Linked DNA regions of Coturnix japonica. The protein of the gene in region 1 purifies or fractionates together with the protein of each later gene. This does not show direct contact. Links are inferred from orthologs where the notes say so. Each region holds a gene or a part of one and is shown in the gene's direction. Other genes may lie near its edges.

Evidence for each region. Proteins that work in one complex are often made in the same cells at the same time.
Region 2: the proteins of VAMP4 (region 1) and STX7 purify together in Homo sapiens (affinity purification with mass spectrometry; 3 studies listed by BioGRID and IntAct, counting the BioPlex papers as one, with this or other methods). This does not show direct contact. The link is inferred for Coturnix japonica from reciprocal best matches to the Homo sapiens genes VAMP4 and STX7.
Region 3: the proteins of VAMP4 (region 1) and VTI1B purify together in Homo sapiens (affinity purification with mass spectrometry; 4 studies listed by BioGRID and IntAct, counting the BioPlex papers as one, with this or other methods). This does not show direct contact. The link is inferred for Coturnix japonica from reciprocal best matches to the Homo sapiens genes VAMP4 and VTI1B.

The regions. Positions count from the first base shown.
Region 1 is NC_029523.1:6,871,458-6,875,435, forward strand, and holds the start of VAMP4 (vesicle-associated membrane protein 4), read left to right. Parts: upstream 1-1,178; 5' UTR 1,179-1,342; coding exon 1,343-1,408; intron 1,409-1,666; coding exon 1,667-1,713; intron 1,714-1,887; coding exon 1,888-1,938; intron 1,939-3,978. Other genes in the region: MYOC (myocilin), read right to left, coding at 192-702. UniProt on the Homo sapiens protein: Involved in the pathway that functions to remove an inhibitor (probably synaptotagmin-4) of calcium-triggered exocytosis during the maturation of secretory granules.
Region 2 is NC_029518.1:51,546,553-51,550,052, forward strand, and holds part of STX7 (syntaxin-7), read left to right. Parts: intron 1-355; coding exon 356-493; intron 494-1,216; coding exon 1,217-1,269; intron 1,270-1,952; coding exon 1,953-2,043; intron 2,044-3,254; coding exon 3,255-3,327; intron 3,328-3,500. UniProt on the Homo sapiens protein: May be involved in protein trafficking from the plasma membrane to the early endosome (EE) as well as in homotypic fusion of endocytic organelles. Mediates the endocytic trafficking from early endosomes to late endosomes and lysosomes.
Region 3 is NC_029520.1:27,593,227-27,596,947, forward strand, and holds the end of VTI1B (vesicle transport through interaction with t-SNAREs homolog 1B), read left to right. Parts: intron 1-870; coding exon 871-1,044; intron 1,045-1,758; coding exon 1,759-1,820; intron 1,821-2,805; coding exon 2,806-2,902; 3' UTR 2,903-3,221; downstream 3,222-3,721. Other genes in the region: ARG2 (arginase-2, mitochondrial), read right to left, coding at 3,303-3,508. UniProt on the Homo sapiens protein: V-SNARE that mediates vesicle transport pathways through interactions with t-SNAREs on the target membrane. These interactions are proposed to mediate aspects of the specificity of vesicle trafficking and to promote fusion of the lipid bilayers.

The DNA.
Region 1 (3,978 bases):
GAGAGGGCTTGGGGGTCCCCATGCTGGGTCCTCGCAGTGGGTAGGCGCTATTCTAAGGGGCAAAGGCAGGTGGCCCAGGTGGGGGCACAGGCTGCAGGGTGTAGGGGAGGACAGAGGGACCCGATAGCGCGGGGAGGATGTAGGACTCGGGGCGCAGAGGATGCCCGCAGATTCCCACCCCCAGCACTGACCTTTGCTGGCGGAGCGCAGGGTGTCGCGGCCGGGCACCCCCCCCGTTCCGGAGGGACATTGCGCGGCCCTGAGCCGGGCGATCTCCCGGGCGCTGCTCTCCAGCCGCCGGCCCAGCTCCTCTTTCTCCCTCTCCAACCTGCCCTTCTCCTCCTCCAGCCGCTCCTTGGCCCGCTGCAGCTCTTCGCACCCCCCCGGGGCCGCTCGCTGGGGGCCCCGCGACCACACTCCGCTCACATCAGCGCCCCTCGGCCCCGAGCCCCCCATTCCCCCCACACCTCCCGCTCCCTCCAGGCGGCTCAGACGGGCGGTGAGCGCGGCCAGCTCGTCTCTCAGCTGCGCTACGGCACCGGCCTCGGGGCAGCTGGCCTCGCCGGGACTGGCCACCGTGAAGCTGTAGGTGCATCGCCCGCTGCCGTCGTTCTCTCTCCGCAGCAGAGCGGCGGGGTCCCCGCGGGCGCTGGGGGCGATGCCCCCCGCCAGCAGCAGCAGCGACAGCCAAGCGCCCGGCATGGTCCCTATCGGCACCCCGCTCTGCCGCCGCCTTTATAGGGCCGCGGGAACCTTCCAGACCGCCCGGCCCCCCCGTGCCGCCCGTTGGCAAAGCTCCGGCACCGCGGGGTGGCCCAGGCCAAACTATTCGCGGCCGCGGGCCAGGGCTGCGGCGGGAGGAGATGGACGGGACGGGCAGGAGGGGACCCCATGGGAACACGGGTGTCGTAACGGGGGACTCAGCGCCGCGACAGCCCGCAGCGCAGGGGGGGCTGCCCGCGGTGCTGCCCCAGAGCTGCCTTCCATCAGCTCGGGGCTGTACAGCTGCCAGGTACGGGGGTCCCATAGCACTTATGGGGGGGGGTGGATAAAGCAGGTGGAGCAGCGCCGGGACGTGGAAATTCCCCGCCGCAGACACCGGCTGCTCGTGGGCATCGCAGCCCCCGTCGGGCCGCCCGCCCATATACAGACCCCGCCCATACACAGACCCCGCCCACACACAGACCGCGGTGGATCGGGTGGATCGCTCGGCACTCGTTGGATCGCAGAGCGGCTCGATGGCTCTGCCCGGTTCCGGTGCTGGAGGCCATTTGCCGGCCCGGCCCGCTGCCCGCTGAGGGGCCGTGTCCGTCCTCCCGGTTCCGGTTCCCCGGCAGGGATCATGCCGCCCAAGTTCAAGCGGCACCTGAACGATGACGAGGTGACGGGCTCGGTGAAGAGCGAGCGGGTGAGTGCGGCCGGGCCGGGCCCGCTGTGCTGCAGCTCGGCCTGAGGGGCGGCAGGGCCGGCAAACACCGCTGGGTGCTGTGACAGCACACACAGCTCACAGGGTACAGCAGCACAGCTCCCGTACCTGGGAGGCAGCGCTGATGGTCTCCCATGAGGGCTCAGCACTGCCCTGTGCTCTGAAGGTGCTGGTGGTGTCCTAATGTCTGGGGTGTCATGTGAAGAGGCTGACACTGATGGTGTTTTGCTTTGTTCACAGAGGAACCTTTTGGAGGAGGATTCAGATGAAGAGGAGGACTTTTTCTTGTGAGTTTCTGAGCAGACACGGGGCGTGTGATGTTTGAACCGCCTGGAGCTCTAAGGCTGGGAGTGCTGATACCAAGAGCTGCTCCCTGCCCTATTGTGTACCTTTAGGTCTTTGATTTAAACACATGTTTTCATTGCATCTGCTATTGTAATTCCTGTCCTTTTCTGCTGCAGGAGGGGACCTTCCGGACCGAGGTTTGGACCCAGAAATGACAAGATCAGGCAGTAAGTTCGTGTTCCTCTGTATCGCTCACATAATATTTTATGCTGATGTTACAAGCTCCTGCTGCTCTGTTAGCAGACTATTTTTCTGTAGTTCTGATCAGTGGCTCGTGCTTTGTTTCATCTGATTGTAATTTCACAGCCCGTTAAGGAAAATCAAATTTGTTTCACGTTATCAAGGAGCTGTGCTTTAATAGCAGAAGAGGGGTAGAACTTTATCACAGTGTCATGGTGGAGTTTCCAAAGCCCGTGGTATATTTTAGTGATAATGAGGTAGAGGTGACCTGGAGATGAGCAGTCACTCAGTGGGGTCGAAGCAGCTGGAGAAACAGGAGCCCTGTACAGCTGGAGCAGGATCATTGGCTGTAACAGGGCGAGAAGAGGGAAGGAAGGGACACTGAGTCCTCCAAGTGAGTCATTTCCTGGGTGATGCTTATTCTAGGCTCTGATTAGCCCTGCTCCTTCCAATTAGAGAAGTGATGGTGACACTTAATGGGAAGGACGGGGTGCTCAGAGACCTCTGTGTTGAGTTGTGCTGTTGTATTTGCTGGCATCCACGAGGCAGAACAGAAGTCAGAGACCGATGACTGGACGTTAATCAGGCCGTATTGTTTTGTGTGCAGCCTTGGGGTTACTCTTCATTAGGAATGTTTTCTTCATGCCTTGAATCAGCCAGTGCATCTCTGAAATGAGTCATTGGGAGCTAGTGTCAAAGAGGCTCTTCTAGGTGAGACTTAACTAGGGACAATTCTGACTTTTCCAAGTCCATGGTGAAGTGATTTAATAATGGTATTTTAGGAGTTTGTGGAGTTGAATTGAAATTCCTGACCAAAGGAGGCAAAAGGATCTTTTCAGTCCAGAAAGCGAAGTTATTTAGGTCTAAGCAGGTTGGTTTGGCAGGGTTTGTTAGCGCAAACATGTGAGTAGGGGTTGTTGTGTTGTTGTTGTTTTCTTTATGTGGAAATGGGCAGCTAATAAAATCCATCTTGGCTCCTTCCGTTCATATTCTCTGCCCATAAAGTTCATTCATGGTCACTGGAGAGCAGCGTGACTGAGAGGCTGGTGGTGTCTTTGGGATCTTCTTTGGAATTTCTACACACTATTTAGTTTTCTGACCCTCTTTATTTAGTTTCTGACCTTCCTTGACTTTCTTTGGTCTTCTCTGAGCTGGACTTCAGTAAGGCTTTTGTCATCGTCCCCCATAACAGCCTCATAAACGGGTTGTTGTTGCTGTGGGATGGATGGGTGGACTGTGGGGCTGGGCCAGTTGACCTCCACAGCTCAGCCATTCTCTGGCTTAGTGACTCAGTGACAGCTGTAGGCAGTGCTGAGCTGTGTGCCTGCTCACTGCGTTATCTTGAGAGGCAAAGTGCATTTGAGTTATGCAGGAGGGTGGATTGGCTGCTGTGTCCTGTGTTTTCAGTGGGCCTGTGCTCTCTCTCGGGCATCAAGATGCTGCTGGTAGAGATGTTCAGGTTGTGGCAGGGAGGCAATGTGGATACAGCCTTCGTTGTGTGGTGCTGTACTGGTCTGAAGTGAGTGAGGATGACAGTTGTGAGTGGTGTCAGCTCTGTAAAGTATATGGGAGAGTTAATGCTGGCCTCTATCCTCCTCTGCTGGAGGGAAATTGCAGAGGGTCTTCCCTGTGCATAGCAGAGAGGGGCAGGAGCTCTTCCCTTCCCATGTGTTGGTGAGACAGAAGGGCCATGGGGGCTTGCAGGGAGCTGAAGGAGAGCACTGCAGCTGTGAACAGGAAGAAAAAAGAAAGAATTCACCAAGGAGCTGTTGGGTTTATAGCTGGACACCAGTCATATCATGACATATACAGGGGCGCAAGGCTGCTTGTCTGGTGAAACAGGAGCAATTTGAGTGTTGGGAGAGCTGAGGCTTAGCTGGGCAAAGCCAGAGAGACTGGAGCAGTGTGTTGCTGGAGGGAACAAAGTGTGAAGATGTGTGTAAAATGAAACTGGTAAAATGGGCAAAGGAAAAAGTAACGGGATCACGGGAGCAATGGTGGAGAACATGGTGAATGTAATGGGCGAG
Region 2 (3,500 bases), on another chromosome or scaffold:
TTTCACAGCATCAAAATGTTTCACACTTAACCACAAAGTAAATTTAGTAATCAGGTATCCTTGTGTCAGTGTGTAGTACATTGTATATGACCTGCTCATTTCTCATTTTCAGCTGTTAAATGAACTAAATATGTTGGTTTCCTCTTTAAATCCCTAAAATTGTGTCAGAGTTATGTAATCGCAGGGGATGGGAAGGTTTGTCCATGCAAATGTTTTAGTAGGCAATTTTCTGTTATACCTATTTAGGGAAGAAAAAAGAAAAGCATACCTTAGTAATTAGTACTGAGTAGACTGGAAATGATGAGTCTTAGAAAGCCTGATCTCATTTGACTTGGTAAAACTTCTTCTCCCATAGCGTCAAAAGAAAATACAGAAAGATCGTCTTGTAGGGGAGTTCACCACAGCGCTCACAAATTTCCAGAGGCTGCAAAGGCAAGCTGCTGAGAAAGAAAAAGACTTTGTAGCCAGAGTAAGGGCCAGCTCAAGGATATCTGTAAGTACTAGAAAATGTGCTATTATACTTTGTTTATGGTGCGGTGGTGGTGTCAAAAGGGCATTTGTAATGCTTTTAGCAAGAGCTTATATCTGAGTCCAAATGTTGCAAAATGTGTAAAATATGATTATGAGCACGGTGGCTTTCTTTGCTTACTTCCACGCACAACTGAATTTAACAGTTCCTTTTATAGCAAAGGCTGAAATACACTGTAATGAAAACTCCTGAAAGCAGTTTTGTTTTGTTTTATTTTCCTTGCCTTTGTCACATGAAGGTACAGAATGTCCCTGAGTTTGTACACTAACCTTACAAAAGTAGTTTTTAGTGATCTTGAAATACTTTTTCTGGGCGTTTAGATATGGGGACTTTTTCTACCAGGAAGAATTGCTTGCCAAGTAGCTATGCATTATTGATGTGGAGAAGTGCTGAGGAGCCTGAGATGTTAGCATGTCAGTTTTGCCTTTTTACTCTATGCCAAATACATGTCACTGTACTTGTAAATTTTAACAGGCATTTAGTGAGCTGAATGTTTTTGCCTGTATTTCAACTTTATGCATACAGAAAGCAAAATCGAGAAGCAAACATGTTAAGTCATGTTTCAGTTTGAAGTTGACTTCTTATAAGCCTTGTAATATTTACTCATTATAGAAATGCTGACAGTGTTCCTTTCTGGTCCATGATATTTTTACCTTATTTTTTTTTCTCCATATACCGATCATGTAGAGTGGTGCTCCTGAAGACAGCTACAAAGAAGGAACACTTGTCTCCTGGGACAGGTAGGCTGAATTTCTTATTAAAACTTAACCTAGTTCAGAATTTAAAATAAATAAATAAAAATTTTAAAAAGGGCTTACAGGGAAGAGTTGCTGTTTTGTTGTAGGCTTTCCTTCATAGTGAAATTGTGAGAAAGAGCCTTTTTAGTGGGATAGATGGGAAGAAATGCATTTATTTATTTATTTATTTATTTATTTCCTACACCTCAATCATCATCTTTAGCTGACCCACGTCCATATCTGGGCTCTGGGATACCCAAGCTTAGATAAGCACAGTCCAACCTGTGACTAGTGTAAAACTGTTAAGCTGTGATTGATCCATTATTTACTGGGTTCTCCTGTTATTTCCAGTCTCAGAAAAACTGCATCTCGGTCTCAGATTCTGTTGATACTGGTTAGCCTAATTTTGCCTGTTTATACTCATAATTCAGATGAACTTTGTCCTCACATTCTTACTTGGAATTTCCAAAGAGCTCGCTCAATGCTATATGCAGATTGCTACAGCAGCAGCTTCCTGTATCAGAGGTAGCATCATTAGACCTATCCTGGACATGGAAGGCTAAAAATGTGTGGTTTAACTGATGAACTTTGTGCATATGTGTTTGGCTGTCATTTTATTCTTCATATTCTAATTTATTTCTCATGGAAACTCTTCAATTCTGGTTTTGGTTGTTTTTCTTTGACAGTCAACCTCAAGCACAAGTGCAAGATGAAGAAATTACAGAGGATGATCTCCGTCTTATTGAGGAGAGGGAATCTTCCATTAGGCAGCTTGAGGTAGGCATAAACAGTTTTACAGCAGGTTTCAGAATATACTCTTAATGCTTCCAAAGAAAAACAAATCACTTCATGTTAGCATAAATCCTGGGGGCCTAGCAATTGTTTGTGGGGAGTTTTTTCTTCAACTCTACAAATACTGTCTTTATGTGATATGTTAAATGTACGTTAGAAATCTAGGGTGTGAAAGCCGTGTTTTGATGTGTTTAATCCCAGATGATTTCATTGAGAAATAAGAAAATGTTCAGAGGTAACAAGGAAAAAGTTGTCAGTTATGTTTTTTATTTTTACAAAAATAAATTGAAGCAAGGCTGTACCTTCCTACCCAGCTATTCCCAATTGTTCAGCTTCTTCATTTTGTAAGAATATTTTGTTCTCCTTTTTTTCCTGAATACTTCTTTTGGAAATAGAGATGCACTGCTGTACTCAACCTTCTGTAATTAAGGGTTTGTCAAAAAAAATAAAAGCATTTAGCATTGAGTTGTAAGTATACCAGTATCATGTGATAAAATACTGACCTCAGGAGACTTCTGTGAAGACAAAGGAAGCTTTTCCAGCCAACCTGGCATCCACATGTCTTCCATCAACAACAAAGATGCTATTGTGATAATTTCTCCCTTGCCATCCATATGTTGGATATGCAATGAACTAAGTATCTATCAGTTATTAGTTGAGGTCATTCACATAGTGACAATGTGACACATATAAATTCATTACAGCCAAACAGTAGTAGGGTAGTGTGATCCTGATTCAGTAGCTTGGCTTCATATTAAAGATGCCGCTTCTGTAAATTTTGTTGCTTACAACTTTTAAGTGTGTTTGAAGTGTTTCCTAAAACTAGTGCAAAGCATCTTGTGCATATACTTCTATTCATTTTGTTTAAATTGGTATCTATTAAGTTAAGCTGGCGTGAACCTGCCTCGTCACTTAAACTGAGACAAGCTTGTGTGTAGATGAGCCCTCAGCAGTGATAGATCCTATTTTTGAAGTGACATGAATTGTGCTTCATGCACAGTCATCTTCAGTTAGTTTGATTTTAATAAACTTTGTCTGGTAGTACAAAAAATTCTTCCAGATAAATATTAAAAGTTCTCTTTTTCTTGGTAGGGTGAAGAGTGTATATGCAGGAAAAAAATGAGTAATATATTTAGATATATTTACAGATATCTTGTTATGCTCTTTCAAGTAATGTTATGATTGTTTCCTTGCAGTCTGATATTATGGACATCAATGAAATTTTTAAAGACTTAGGAATGATGATTCATGAGCAAGGCGATGTGATAGGTAAGCCCAACTCAACTATTATCTGAAAAGTTATTTCATGTCTTTGGGGAGCAGCAGTGCAGAAAATTTATTTTGCTGGGAAAATTCCTCTAGCAAGAGCATTAATGCTAAAGCTAATCAGGTGCAACTTAACAGTAGGTAGATTGAGGTTACTGGGGATCCATAAAGATACT
Region 3 (3,721 bases), on another chromosome or scaffold:
CATATTTTTAAGAGACTCGTTAAGGATAGTGAAATACTTTATTTAAATCACTCCCCTGCTGAGAAGAATGGTAAACTGATCTCAATCTTAACCCCAAAAAGGGATGTGACTTACATACACTGTACAGGTTCTTCCATAGAGCCTTCTCTTAAACAATCTCATTTTTTATATACTTTCTGGAAACTGTTTTGTCTTCCTCTGTCTCGTGCAGTAATGGATGTGTTGCTGCAGAGCAAGAAATACACTGGTTTACTGCATCTATTTAGGTATGTCCAGGGTAGAGAGAATGAATTTGCTTGCTGTCTTCAGAGAGGTGTCTATATAGAAAATTTGTGGAAAAGTGTTGGTTTTTTGTTTGTTTCCCTGCCTTAGTTAAGAAATGTCTGGGGGAGTTTCCATAATACAGTAGCTAGGTATATTTTTGCATTTGATTCCTCTTGATTGCTAAAACCCAAGAGCAGGATGATGGGTCAGACTTTTTGAAGCTTAAGAAAATCTGAGTTACCTGTTCACCCTGAGGTCAGCAAACATTTCTTGCTCTCTGTCTGCGGCTACTGGCTTTAATAGAGGAGCTTTGTTACTTAGCAGTCCATCTGCTAATGCTTTTTGTCTGTGACTGAGTAAACTCCTAATAATCTCCTTGGCAACTAGCTGTAGTGTCACAAATGAGACTGACATTAAATCTGAACAAAAGGAAAGCATCTGGAAGAGCCCAGATATTGTTTTCATACAGATGTTGCTCAATAGAACAATGAATTACTGCAAAGACAGTTCTTTGTAGCTGAATGTCTTAACTCTTTAACTGCATACCCTTCTTTTTCAATACGTCAGATCCTGGTGTTTAATAGTTAAATGTATATTTTTCCTCAGACTAATCTGCAGTCACAGAGGGTGCTGCTTCTCCAAGGAACAGACAGTCTGAACCGAGCCAGTCAGAGCATTGAGCGCTCACACCGGATTGCTGCTGAAACAGATCAGATTGGTACTGATATCATTGAAGAACTTGGGGAGCAGAGAGAGCAACTGGAACGCACCAGGAGCAGAGTAAGTGGAGATCCTGTGGGCAGTGTGCTCACACAGCCCAGTGTTAGCTTAGAAATGTATGCCAGTCATTGTACTGGGAGACCCCCAGATGGGCTGAGCCGGTTGATGCTTTAACATACCAAAGGCTGCCACATTACTGTGTTGTGCTCGTGAAATGAAATTGAATGGCAGCAGCCAACACTAACCTTGCAATATTTGTACATTAGCTGAGGCAACAGTTTGGTTCATTTCTGAGTGTTACCAAGCTGAAATGGATCATCCATTAACAGTTCAGTGGTCAAATCTGTTGGGTCACATAGGCCTGTCAGGGCAACGTGTTTATTTTCTTTGTAGGGAACTTAATTGCATGTCAAACAGTTGTAGATATGCACTAGAGAAGAACATGCTGATAACAGACAGCAATTATATTCACAACTCGATTAAAGAAACCAATTAATAAAAGGGCCTCGCACCAACTTTACCAATAGAGTGTTTGTAAATTGCATGGAATCTTTGCATGTACCTAAAGGAATATATCCCCAACAGTCTTGTTTCTGCCTTAGTAAGGAGACAGCTGTTCCCTCTGTACTGTGCCTGGAGAGCAGTGTTGTCTCTGAATTTTGAGAACACATAGTTTGTGTTGAACGCATTTGTTGGTGTCTAAATGTTACAATTAAGAATTGCATTTGCATCTTCAGAACTGTAAACTGGTAAATAACTTTTGTTTCTTCTTAGTTGGTGAATACAAGTGAAAACTTAAGCAAGAGTCGTAAGATACTGCGTTCCATGTCCAGGAGGTGAGTAGCACCTGACTTAGAGGGATGCAGTATTCTGAAGGTTCTGTTGTTGCTTACTGTTTATGGAAAAAAGTAACAAAAGTGTCAACTGGAACTCTAGGGAGATATTAGGGGAAGTGTAGGTGAGCGAATACTACTGAATTTGTGCTGCAAATTATTTGTATACAGTTTTATTAAGATAATACTGGGGTTGTAACAATGAGGCACGATAGATTGTAGTGATGGGAGGGATTTTGACTAAATTACAGTCTATTTCTAAAGGTAAATTTTGAATAGTGTTTATTCAGGTTGGGAGACACTGTGGCATAAATCACTGCAGCATTAAGTGATTTAGGTGTCTGATGACAGAGACAAATCCATTGAGCCCACAGGAATGCCTTAGCACAGCTGGACTGTTATTTGAGAAACTCTGAGCTTGACCCTACCCTGTGCTGATGACTAAAGCCTTGGTTGCTTAAGTGTATTTATGGTTTAACTGTGTGGTTTAATTATTCTCATAAACCAGTTCATGGAATACTTTTTCAGTGGGTACTTCTGGTCTAACAAGCTTTTTCCTTTATAATTACCATAATTTCCTTTAGCAATAATTTTCAAAGGAAAAGTACAGTGAATTAAGACTAAAAATCTCAACTTAACTGTATTAATTGATGTAAAATTAACCACAGTGTAGGTTTTAAAGCTGCAGCAATTCAACTTAAGTGTTCCTTTGTGCTTAATTGAATAAACAGGCACACACAGAGCAGGATGCTCTGCCTTTCTGGGGAATGGGGGCAGGAGGAAAAGAACACAACTGCGGTTTTTGAAATAAAAGATGGGATATAGGATTTCAGGAAAAATTAAATGGGCACCCAAAGGTTGCCTTCTTAAGTGCTATTTAAAATAGTACTAGCAGAAACAGGGAATCTACTTTCTGAAGGTAAGAATCAGCTTTTTTTTCTTATAAAAGAGCCTTGGATTATTTGTGTTTATTATTTTTTAACTCTAGAATAGCCACTAATAAGTTGTTGCTGATGATCATCATCGTCCTGGAACTAGCCATCCTAGGAGGTGTGGTCTACTACAAATTCTTTCGCAGTAGATGAACCTTTGTGACTTTGTTTTCCACTGCTGAGGAGCAGGATGGGATGTCTCCTCTGTGACTGTCTAAAACTGAACTATCTCATGAGACAGCATGCACCACTGAAACTGTACTGACACGAGAAAGACAGTGAAAGGAAGCAAAAGGAAAATACAGACAGACTTGCAAACTACCAGTGAGATTACAGAGAAGGTAATAAATATTTTATTGTCTCAATTTGTATATACTTAACTAAGTGAATAAATCTTCATATGTAATACAGTAGCCACTGATCAAGTGCAAAAACTACTTTTATTTAAAAATCAAGAAGTTAGTTAACAGTATTTGCCAAGTGTTGACAGTCTATTTGCTCGAGTGTCTCAGCAGAGCTCTTTAACATCTAGCATACCCAGCATTGCGGGCTCTTAAATCCTCACTTGCTGTTCACTGTCAGATTCATCTGGAGAGCTGGGTGTTGGGAGTTCATCAAAAGCAGTGTGCGCCCCTTCTCTCGTCTGTCCAAAGCACGTTGCTATCACATCAACTGCAAGACTAGCAGTTGCATTCACTTCCTCTTGAGAAGCTCCAAGCAGCGGATTGACTTCAACCAGGTCTACAGCTGAAAGCATTCCTGTAAAAATTAGGTGCAGCTTTGTTACTATGTGTAGTGGAAATGCTAAATTACGGTTTGAACCTGTGATTGAACACCTGGTGGGAGGGCAGGGCCAACCCAGGGGAGCTCAGCTGCGTGTAGTGTGCCTGAGTGACCAGAAGGGGAGGAGCCAGGATCCACCTCTTCCCAGGCCTCATTTAAGGGTTGGCAGTGGAGGTGGGGGCATCTCAG